Drosophila melanogaster: one gene and its partner. The gene in region 2 interacts genetically with the main gene of each other region. Each region holds a gene or a part of one and is shown on either strand. Other genes may lie near its edges.

Region 1 (5,031 bases), about 11 Mb from region 2:
AAAAATTAAGATAAGCAGAGCATGCCTGATTATGATGTGCTTGCTGATCCTTAATTATTTAGATTGGCTATTGTTTCAGTTTTAAATTTATGAAAACTGAGATCTTTTAATAGCAACTATGTCGCCGACTTTGTACTTTTAGGATGGTCCTCGTCGTAGATTGTATCTCTTTTTCTTCTCGTTTTGAATCTGGAGAAAACGTCTCTTTGCTTGAATTCTATCATTTTATCCTCTAGCATCTGCTGAATCCTTATATTCAATTTTAGGCTCATCTTCCTGCCCTTTTTTTGCTTCAAACAAACATTGAGTTGATGACTTCTGGTACGCCACTGACAATTTATGCCAATGTAGTGGGTCGTCAATTGCAAGTTTTGAAAAAACTGAAGCTTTTGAGTTCACCCTCTCAACCTCTCTATTTCCAAAAATGTTGCTTTGATCTTGAAGTCTTGCAAAATATAAGATGTTGATTTGGGTGTTTGGATTTAGATAGAGCCAGCAGAATTTTGTGAAACTGTCGATTTCTGGTAAAACTGTTTATACTGCTTTTGCGTTGACTCTAGAAGTCCAAGGAAATTTATATGGTAGGTTTGAAGCGGTTGCTTATCTTTGCTGAGTGGATGAAGTTTCACGTAATGTATAGCTACTCCTTTGTGGTTAAATCCCTGAAGATAGCGTTTACATGAAGTTGGATCACACTTGGCGAATTTGAAAGACCGAAAAGGTATTCTCAGAAATTGAAATTGTCAGTTGTGAGTGACTAACGATGTATATTAACGGCTCTACTCGGATGTTTCCATGATGCCGTCTTCAAGCCATTGTTCGGTTTTATTGTCAAAAATGTAACGTTCGGCATAAGAAAATCTGCAGGACCGTATGTATTTCGGCATACCGTATGTATTTATATCTTCGATATAAATTTTGAGATTTGAACTTATATCACCTTCTGATGTGATAGGTTTTGTAATTTTCACTTCTTCACTGTTTACTGTAACTTGAGCTTGTTTGCAAAACTCTTTATCAAACACCATTTATTAGTCGAGGAGGTGCGATTCTAATACGAGAAAATTTTTTAAAAATTCGGCATATTCTGCCTATTGAGAGTTTCTGCTCAAACGATCCTGATGATTTGATCTTATTTTTGTCTGATTTACTAAACCCGACGAGATATATTTTGCAGTCCCTTAACTTTAGCTTGATATTGTCAGTATCTTCCTGAGTTTCTTCGCCGATTTCATTGTCCGTTTCATACTCTTCGCTTTCGTGTTAGTCATTTCCTCGCCAAATTTGGTTCGACTAACATGTTTCTTTGTTGCAATATATGTGTTTTGTCAAGTCGGTCTTATCCTGTTGCAGTTTTTGCAAATTATCGCGAGATCCATATCAGATAATTTGTCTGCGAAGAAATTAATTTCTGTCGATTTGACGATTTGACTCGTCGTAAGCGTAGCCTCGAAATTCTCGCAAGCGTTTTCTGTTATCGAGTACAATGTTTTCCGGATCCGGATTTGCTAACTCTTGCGATACTTTATTTCTTTCTTTATTTTCATTATATTTTAATTCTTGTTTTTAACACTTTTACTACCTTTTTACACTCTGTTATTTTGGTTTAATTTTGTTGTATATTAATTGTTGAGCCCCAAATTATGTGAGACTGAGTTCTTTTTTTTTTGTGATGTGTTTACTGATCCTTGATTGGATATTTGTTTAAGGGGTTTTGGCGAGATAGTCGTTCTCCGGCACGTCTTCTACTTCGTCGTCGTAAAAACATTTTCCTTCCATGGATTTTTCCGTTTAGCTCCCGAAATCGTTCTCTGCCTTTTGAAGGCTCGCCGCGTCGTTAGCTTCGCCTAGTCATCGTTATATTAGCTAGGATGACCATTCCCACATATGCATGTCTGTAAACATTCTCGAATACTCGAAATACATATAAAAGCCTTTCAAGGAATGCATCCATAGGCCTCATAGGGTTCTTACAGGACAAGACTTGAATACTTTTGAAACTTATGTGGAGTTATGAAATAACGTGTCGGAACATATTCCACTCAAATTCCACGTCCGTATGGGGACCTCTCAAGAACGCTTACAGTGTGTAGGCAGTGTGCAGGCAGACGTAGTATAAGCTCATGCTTTGTAAATTTGACTAAATGTGACATTCATATTTTAGAAAATAGTAATAATAAAATAATAAGAACAAAATATAAAGTAATTGTGCTAAATTTTGCCAAAATAGTAAAATAGGAATTATTTACGAACTTTTAATTTTTATGTGCTCATTTTAATTTGATGCTGGTAGGGCTGTTTTTATACAGGTTTGAGTTTCAATAGATTATTTCAATATAAAAAACTTGATTGGCCCAGTTGAATGCCCTTATTTATGCAAAATTCCTTTAATCTCTAAATAAATTAATTTTTAAGATGAAAATTGATACCTGGTTGAAAATCGTCTTTTTCCACAAATATGCACACATACTCACTTTCTTGCGTATGCCTTAATTTACTCAAACAAGTGCGTAAAAAAAATTAGATTTGATTTCAACTGAAAGAAATAAGCTGCGAGCCACTGTATGAGAATTCCATGAAAAACGTTGAACTGCCGATGCTAAGTTAATCATAAAATGGTCCACGTCAATATAAATATTAAATAAATATCAATTTACATTACAGGTCTCGGAACATACATACATAAGTAAGTTAATGGATGGACATATTAACATACATTCTATGTACGAACCTAAGAACCCATGACAACACGCATATCTAGTTGTTTTTTCATATTAAAATAAACAAACACTTTTTTTAATTATAAAAAGTTAAGTAAATTAGACACAGCTTATGTGCAAAACTACTAGTTTCATCAACAAAAAATCATCAACTGGGTAGCAGATGGTACCTCCTTTTCTTACTGATTTTACTTTTCCATATATGTATGCATGCATTACATATGTATGCATTTTTAAATGGACTTACACAGAAATTCAGTATATTTCACCTATACACTAAAGATTTACTAAGGCAAATATCAAGATGTTTGTGTAAACTGCTGATGTATGAATCGAATGAATTGAGATTTATTCATATTAACTTCAACCTTACACAATTTTCAAAGTCGATTTGTGACGTTCTGCGTAAATATGCACGATACTGCATTTTTTTTTTACTCAGATGGAAATGTATATATATTAAATATATTATATATTTATTAAAGGCAAATTAATTTTCGTTCTTGATCTTGGATCTTGATCTTGGATCCAAGGACAGTTTGACAGTTTAGCCATACAATTTCGCAATCTTGTAGCAGTGCAAGTTTGTAAAGTTGTTAGTCTCAAAATAGATCATAGAAAAAATAGATCGGTGAAAATATATCACTAACAAACGGTGTTAAAAACCAAATGATTGTAAAGTTTGGTCATGGCAGCTTTGTCAGTTTTCCGGGCTTAGACAAGTTTTTTTAAGCATATCAATAGAAATTAAATTAAAAAGAACCGAAACATAATTTAATTTAATTTAATAATTTTTTAATTTTAGTTGACCTTTCGAATGGACGCGAGAACTTTCTGAAATATGTTGTTTTTCTAGCTTTTATATTTCCCCAGATCTCGAAGTATACACGGACTGACTAGATCATGAATACATATAATGTATACGGTGGTAAAGGAATTTGCGTCAAAATAGCGCAGATGAGTTAGTTGCGTTGGCGGAACGGCAGAATTTTTAACATGGGAACGTTCTTATTTACTTGTTCTTTTAGTCTTTACTTATAGGTGAATTTAAAAAAAAGAATGTTATGAAAAGAATGATCTAACTATCTATTTACGACAAAAGTTTGAAGGACCCAAAAAAGTATTACAATATGCAATTTAAAAATAGGCACCCAACTTTTTAGGGAATATCGCCATTCTCAAAAGGTGTTCCAAAATGAACGCTAGACAACCTTAAAGGATATTTCAGGAAAATTAAAAAAAATTATCCACAGTTTTTGTGATAATTGCATAGTACAGCTATAAAAAAGTTTTTAATTTTTTTTTTTTTGACTTAAAATTACAGAGGTCCCAACATAAAGGGCCCTGGGAAAAGGTCCCTCTGAAATTAGCTTTCAAAGCGAACGGTCGTGTTAGTTGCGCTCCGATTTTTATTTTGTGTTTGTCAAACAAGCCGTGGTTTTTAATAATCTTCTTTAATTATCATATATTTTAAACATAATTATTAAAGATTCCGTTCGCTTCGCGAGTGATTCTTTTGTGATTTGTGCAGTAGTTTAAACAAATATACAAAGTATTTTGCATTTTTCGTCCTTGTGTTATGTTTACTCTCCCTTTTGTACGTTGTTCGCAGTGCTGTTCGGTGTGGTTTTTTGCATGCGCCCACACAAAATCTAAATTTCTCAGCGTGCAGACTGCTCTCTTGCGGTTCTTTTAACACCTCGCTAGAATGTTTTGATCTTGTGTTTTCGTGCACAGTGGTCTGATTTTAGATAAACATGGAAACCGTAAATGTTGTCTGCTTTTATAAAAATTGTTGCCAGGTTATAAAACCTGAGCACCAAAAATTGTTTTGTTGGCTATGTGATAGAATGGTGCATACTAAGTGCGCTGGTTTTAATGGCCGAACAAGCGATGACCTAGCGAAGGGTAAAAATTAAAATTACTGTTGTGATGCTTGCCTTGTGGTTGCGAACGAGATGAAATTGTTTATGCGCCAAACTAAATGTGGCTTGGAAAGAACTTATCAACAGTTTTGGCGTAGCTAGAGATAGTTTTCGCCGAGTCGATGATCTTCTTTCCGTGCTTAATTCACAGTTTAATGGTCTTTAGATATAAGATGAATCTCCAAAGCGCAAAAAAGCCGCAACCACGGGAAAATGATCAACAGGACTCCACAACTGAGCAGCTGTCAATCGCAGCAAATCCTCATATGTTGCTAAGATCGGCAGCTAAAAAAAATTCGGTGTAATCCGATCAATCTGTTGTGGTGGGACCCCACCCTGTGATTTCTAAAAATTCCGAAATCCCCTGATCAAACATCGTCTGATGT
Region 2 (5,347 bases):
GCTTTGGCGAACACCACAGACACCATGGAGGACATCATGGGCGCTTCTAATACCCCAATTTCTTAATCGTCTTAAAATCGTAAACAAAAAATAAATAGTTTTTTCCAACATATACCTGCTGTTTTCGTGAACCAAATATTAAGGAGACCACGGATCCTGGAGATAACTCGCAAACGAAGGAAAGAACAAACACGCATCTTGAGGAGACGCAAAACCAAGGAAATACTACACTCTGGGATTCTGCACACAGAAAAGATTGACTCGGCTATTGATCCTGACTAATAATATATATATTAACAATATATACACTTTATTAAGTCGGAATCGTTTAATTCTACATACAAATTTCATAGGATGTGTCACTTCATGTGAGAATATTAACAAGATTATCTTGGCAATAAGCGCTTCGTCACTTCGTGGATCGCTAGATGACGTTTATTTGGGAACTCGTCATCTTCATCACAACCTTTTCATCTGTAAAACGTGACTCTACTAATTATTATATATTTTTATTATTATAATACAATAATAATACAAAAACATATTTACAGAAAATAACTTTGAAACCTATGATTTGTTTCATAACTTAAAATTTATAATTATAATTCAGCAACAAAAATCTTAGATACTGAGATATTACGGGGTATTATGAATAGGTTGGTTTTGATAAAAACGGTAAAGGTATAAAACAAGACATACACCCACAAAAAATAAATTATATTATTCATGCAAGGATGTACCAAGGAGTTTTTCGGACAATTCGGGGATGATTGCAAAACAAAGGTAAATTATTGAACGCCGTGTTGAACAAATCATGCTCAGGTATACCCAGGCTCATTTACCCTGCAAATTATGGCACTGAATGTGGCATGTTTACCTTTCAAATTGAGCGCACAATACAAACCAAATGCGTTTGACACTGAAGTCAGAATATGCCTTTCTCGCAAATCCAGGGACCTTCTTCGTCTCGAAGGATATCAGATTGAGAAAATTAGCTGTTGGAGTGGGGAAAATAATGAGGGATCATAGACACACATTGAGGAAGGCACAGTTACTATTTCATTATATTTTGAAGACTCAGTTTTAATCTAAATAGCAATCTATAGGTTTGTTCAATTGTTTGTTCGGTGTTTTCTTTTATTTCGTTTGTTGTTGTATATGGGCTTTAATTTGAATATTTATTTACAATTTATTTAAGACTCGTTACACCCTTGCTCAAGTCAAATATAGTAACAGTTGCAATAAACAAGCTTTCAACTTATTGCTTACGTGTCTCATCAATATAATTTACAAGAAAAACTTACTTAAGGCTAATCTCCGTTGATGTTTTGCTTTATGTCTCTGTGCTTCACGCATAATTTACTTTACGGATATTTACCGGCTGCTTATTTTGATGCTTCTTTTATTTTGTAGGTATGTGTATTTTTACTAGTGAGAATATTGGTTGGTTAATTGAGAGTATATATAATTACTATATATATCTGACTTCTATATACCATTTTTAACATTTGTAATTTATGTACGTTCGTTTTTACGAATTGAGTTTTTACTATGCGCTTGCGGTTGGTTTTCTTTGTATAAATAAAATAGAATATTTTCGCTTTTGCTTCGCTTCGAATAATACATGCCATATACATACATATAAGAAAATGCTCGATTACGATTCTCATAACTTATGGTTCGACGTTAACCAAATGAGGCCCTCGGACAGGCCATCGCCGGATGTGGCACATGATGGTTGTACATACCAATTGCGATCTCTTATTCTAGTTAAACCTAGTTTTTCCTGGATTTCATGGGGTTTCATTGCTGCAAGAGAGAACAATAAGCGGATGGAAACAATTGGCTGAGCACTATACTAACCATCAGGCAGATCCTGCTTGTTAGCAAATATCAGTATGATGGCGTCGCGCATCTCCCTATCGTTAATTATCCTATGCAGCTCCGTGCGCGCCTCGTCTATCCGATCCCGATCCGCACAATCCACGACGAAGATCAGACCCTGTGTACCCGTGTAATAGTGTCGCCATAGCGGTCGAATCTTATCCTGCCCACCGACGTCCCACACATTGAACTTGACATTCTTATAGGTGACGGTTTCCACATTAAAGCCCACAGTGGGTATCGTTGTAACAGATTGGCCAAGTTTCAGTTTGTACAGAATCGCTGTGGGTGGACAAAAACAATATTACTTTAGACACGCAAAGGATGTATAAACAAAATAGCTCGAATTCGATTAGTGATAGTACTGGTGTACGTATTGAAAGGTCTTTATATTGTACATTTTTTCAAAGTACAATAAGAATAAAAACAAAACAATAATTGCCTCGCCTCAAGAGTATTTTTTAAATGGGATTGGTTTCCACTTAGGAAACTGATGAAACTAATGGGTACTAATCAGGCCCACAATCGAATTCGAGAACCCTTTATTGTTTATGTGCTTACTTGTTTTTCCAGCCGCGTCCAGTCCGAGCATGAGAATTCGCATTTCCTTGTTGCCGAAAATTTTTGATAGTAACTTTCCCATGGTGCTGATGTGTCATCCATTAAACCTTAGCCAATCTGAAAAACAGTTCGAGTAGAGTTGGCGAGGTCTTCCAAATAAGCATATCGATAAGAATAGCTGGGCGAGATTCAGGGCAGGGTCAGTGAATTTCCAGATAATAGGGCCATTGTAATACAGTTTGCAGTTAACATATCAATTTATGATATAAGAACGCCGTCGCGCGAAGGCGCGTAAGTGATATATGAACATACAAATGTAGCTACATATGTACACATACGGCGGGCACAGGCAATTTGGTGGCCATATAGAGCTTGTACGACGGCGGAAGCTAAGACCATTATTTTGCATAATAATTTCACTTACATTGTCATCAGCTCGTTGCTAAAAAGCGAGAAAAAAGTGGAGAGGCAGAATTTATCAGTGAAGAGCTTGCAGCACACAGTCGCACACACAAACACACGCACACATGCTTACACATAGGAAGTACAATTGGACAGATAAACACACTATAGTGTCTCGCAAATTGAGGCAGAGTTATCTCAATTGCGGGCTTATCGCTGGCTCCACTGAATGGGCGGGTGGATCCGACCGCTCCACCCCCGCCCCCTGAACAGCCACCGCACCCCTCGACGACCCAGTAAAGCCGGCTTGGGAGCAACGATATCGGATGGTTTTCGGATTCTACGGAATTTCGCTCGCTCTCTCGCTGCTGCTTGCCTACGTCACAAACACGCCCGTAACACACATACACATGTATACACACCCAAGTCTCCGACGACCGCCGTTACGCACCGCTTTCCAGCCCAATTCGTTCCACGCCAGCCTGAAATCCGTTAACATGTAGTGCCAAAGTGCGCGGGCCGGGGCATAAAATGCATTTGCTAGCACACGGCGGCCAAAAAACTATAACTAACAACAACAATTTTGCACTAATCTTCTTGTATTTATATACACATACACGAAGCAATGTGCCCGTTAGCGCAGAGCGGAACAAGATCTTCGGGAATTCCAGAAAATACGCTAAAAAATGCAAAGAATGCGGAGGATAAATACCAAAAATACTGAATTTATCAGATGAAAAACGGTGACTGGCGGGGATATCGTGATTTTTTGGCCAATAAGTTATTACTTTTGCAATTCAAAATTGAAAAAGATTTATTTTCTTATATTCATTTATTATTCATATTAATTTAGCAAACAATGTAGCTGATATATTCTCCTCGTACGTTCAACAATTTGTTAATTTTTTTTAATTTTAAAAATTTTTGTTTTGTGTATTTAGTGATTTGGTATTTTAATGTAGCCCTGGTGAACTTACAAAGCCCTAGGGCGGCCACACTGAAACCGATGATTGAAATCAAGTCGATTGATTTCAGTTTCCTTCTTTTGTATTGTTTTATATTTGAGCAATACTTACGATACTGACATCGCTCAGAGGTACAATGGAACTTAGTTAGTCGTCGACCAGAACAGACTCGGAAAACATGGCTGGCATTTGCCCCCGGGAGGCGGTTCGGGTGAAAGTGAAGGCAAGTGAAAGGTGGCCAGAAGGCGAGACAACAAAAGGGCTGCTTAGTTTGTGTTCCTCAATCTAATTTTTTTGAAATCGCCCACAGAAATGCGAACCCACTGCTCGGCCGGAGTGGCGAAAGTTTTCAGTGGACCCGCAGATCACCACGCTGGAGGTGTTGTACTCCCTGCTGGCCAAGGCCTTCGATGTCAAGTCGGACTTCTCCATTAAGTACAAGGCCTTTGATCCGGCGGGCAACGAGATCTACCTGGCCGTGCGCTCCGACTGGGATCTGGATGCCGCCTTTCTGAGGATTCACAACATTTCCATTCAGACGGCCTCAGAACCCTGCCTCACCCTGCAGATCGATGTGAAGCCATTTACGGTGGTCAGGGAGTGTGAGACCGAGGCCTCCCCGGGTAGATCCATAACGGGAGCGCCTGCTCCCGCAACTCCTGCACCTTTTGTACCCGCCCGCGAGCTTATGTCACCACTGCAGTCCTTAGGAGTCTCCCAGAAATATGTCCAGCACATGCAGACCAAACTGGGCAGCTCCATTCTGAATCAGATGGAGAAAACCTTCTCCATAGTGCAGAAAGCGTTTAACTTATCCGAGGAGCATATGGCCAATCTACCGCCACGGCCGCCCATGTGCGACAGCGAGTTCCGGCTCTTTCTGGACGCACTTGGTCAGATTCAACGCAAGGACGAGTTGCATAGGGTCATCTTCCTAGGAGGCATTGACCCCAGTCTGCGGCGCGTTGTGTGGAAACATCTGCTTAACGTTTATCCCGGTGGCGCTAACGGACTGGCACTTGATGGACACCAGCGTATGGAATTCATGCGACGAAAGTCTGAGCAGTACTGTCGTCTGAGAGACACATGGAAAGCGGCCGTGAAGCGAGGCAGTGTGGCTGGAGAACTGGCTTACGTAACGAGCATGGTAAAGAAGGATGTTCTCCGCACGGACCGCCTGCATCCATTTTATGCAGGCAGCGACGACAATCAGAACATCGCTGCGCTTTTCAATATCCTCACCACATATGCACTAAACCATCCATCGGTCTCATATTGTCAAGGCATGTCGGACATTGCTTCCCCGCTACTGGTTACCATGAACGACGAGGCACAGGCCTACATCTGCTTTTGTGCGATAATGTCACGTATGCGTGGAAACTTCATGCTGGATGGGATTGCAATGACTCAGAAATTTGCTCACCTAACGGAGGCGCTAAGTTTTTATGATCCTGAGTTCTGGGAGTACCTCAAGTCGCAGCAAGCGGACGACTTACTTTTCTGTTACCGTTGGCTACTGCTGGAGCTAAAGCGGG

What was found. A genetic interaction does not mean that the proteins touch.
Region 1: of Arf6 (region 2) and conu, changing one enhances a phenotype caused by changing the other (phenotypic enhancement), as found in Drosophila melanogaster (one study listed by BioGRID).

What each region holds. Positions count from the first base shown.
Region 1 is NT_033778.4:4,742,338-4,747,368, reverse strand, and holds the start of conu (conundrum), read right to left. Parts: upstream 3,022-5,031; 5' UTR 2,968-3,021; intron 2,965-2,967; exon of another isoform or gene 2,732-2,964; intron 2,714-2,731; exon of another isoform or gene 2,475-2,713; intron 1-2,474. UniProt on the Drosophila melanogaster protein: GTPase-activating protein (GAP) for Rho1; functions with the ERM protein Moe to regulate Rho1 and control proliferation in the developing epithelium. Recruited by Moe to the cell cortex where it negatively regulates Rho1 activity.
Region 2 is NT_033778.4:15,320,664-15,326,010, reverse strand, and holds Arf6 (ADP ribosylation factor 6), read right to left. Parts: upstream 3,511-5,347; 5' UTR 3,299-3,510; exon of another isoform or gene 3,270-3,298; intron 3,209-3,269; exon of another isoform or gene 2,981-3,208; intron 2,888-2,980; 5' UTR 2,870-2,887; intron 2,563-2,869; 5' UTR 2,528-2,562; coding exon 2,446-2,527; intron 2,167-2,445; coding exon 1,864-2,166; intron 1,810-1,863; coding exon 1,667-1,809; 3' UTR 521-1,666; downstream 1-520. Other genes in the region: CG8157 (uncharacterized protein), read left to right, coding at 1-50; CG8155 (uncharacterized protein), read left to right, coding at 3,991-4,035, 4,123-5,347. UniProt on the Drosophila melanogaster protein: GTP-binding protein involved in protein trafficking; may modulate vesicle budding and uncoating within the Golgi apparatus. Promotes cell movement and remodeling of the actin cytoskeleton during compound eye morphogenesis.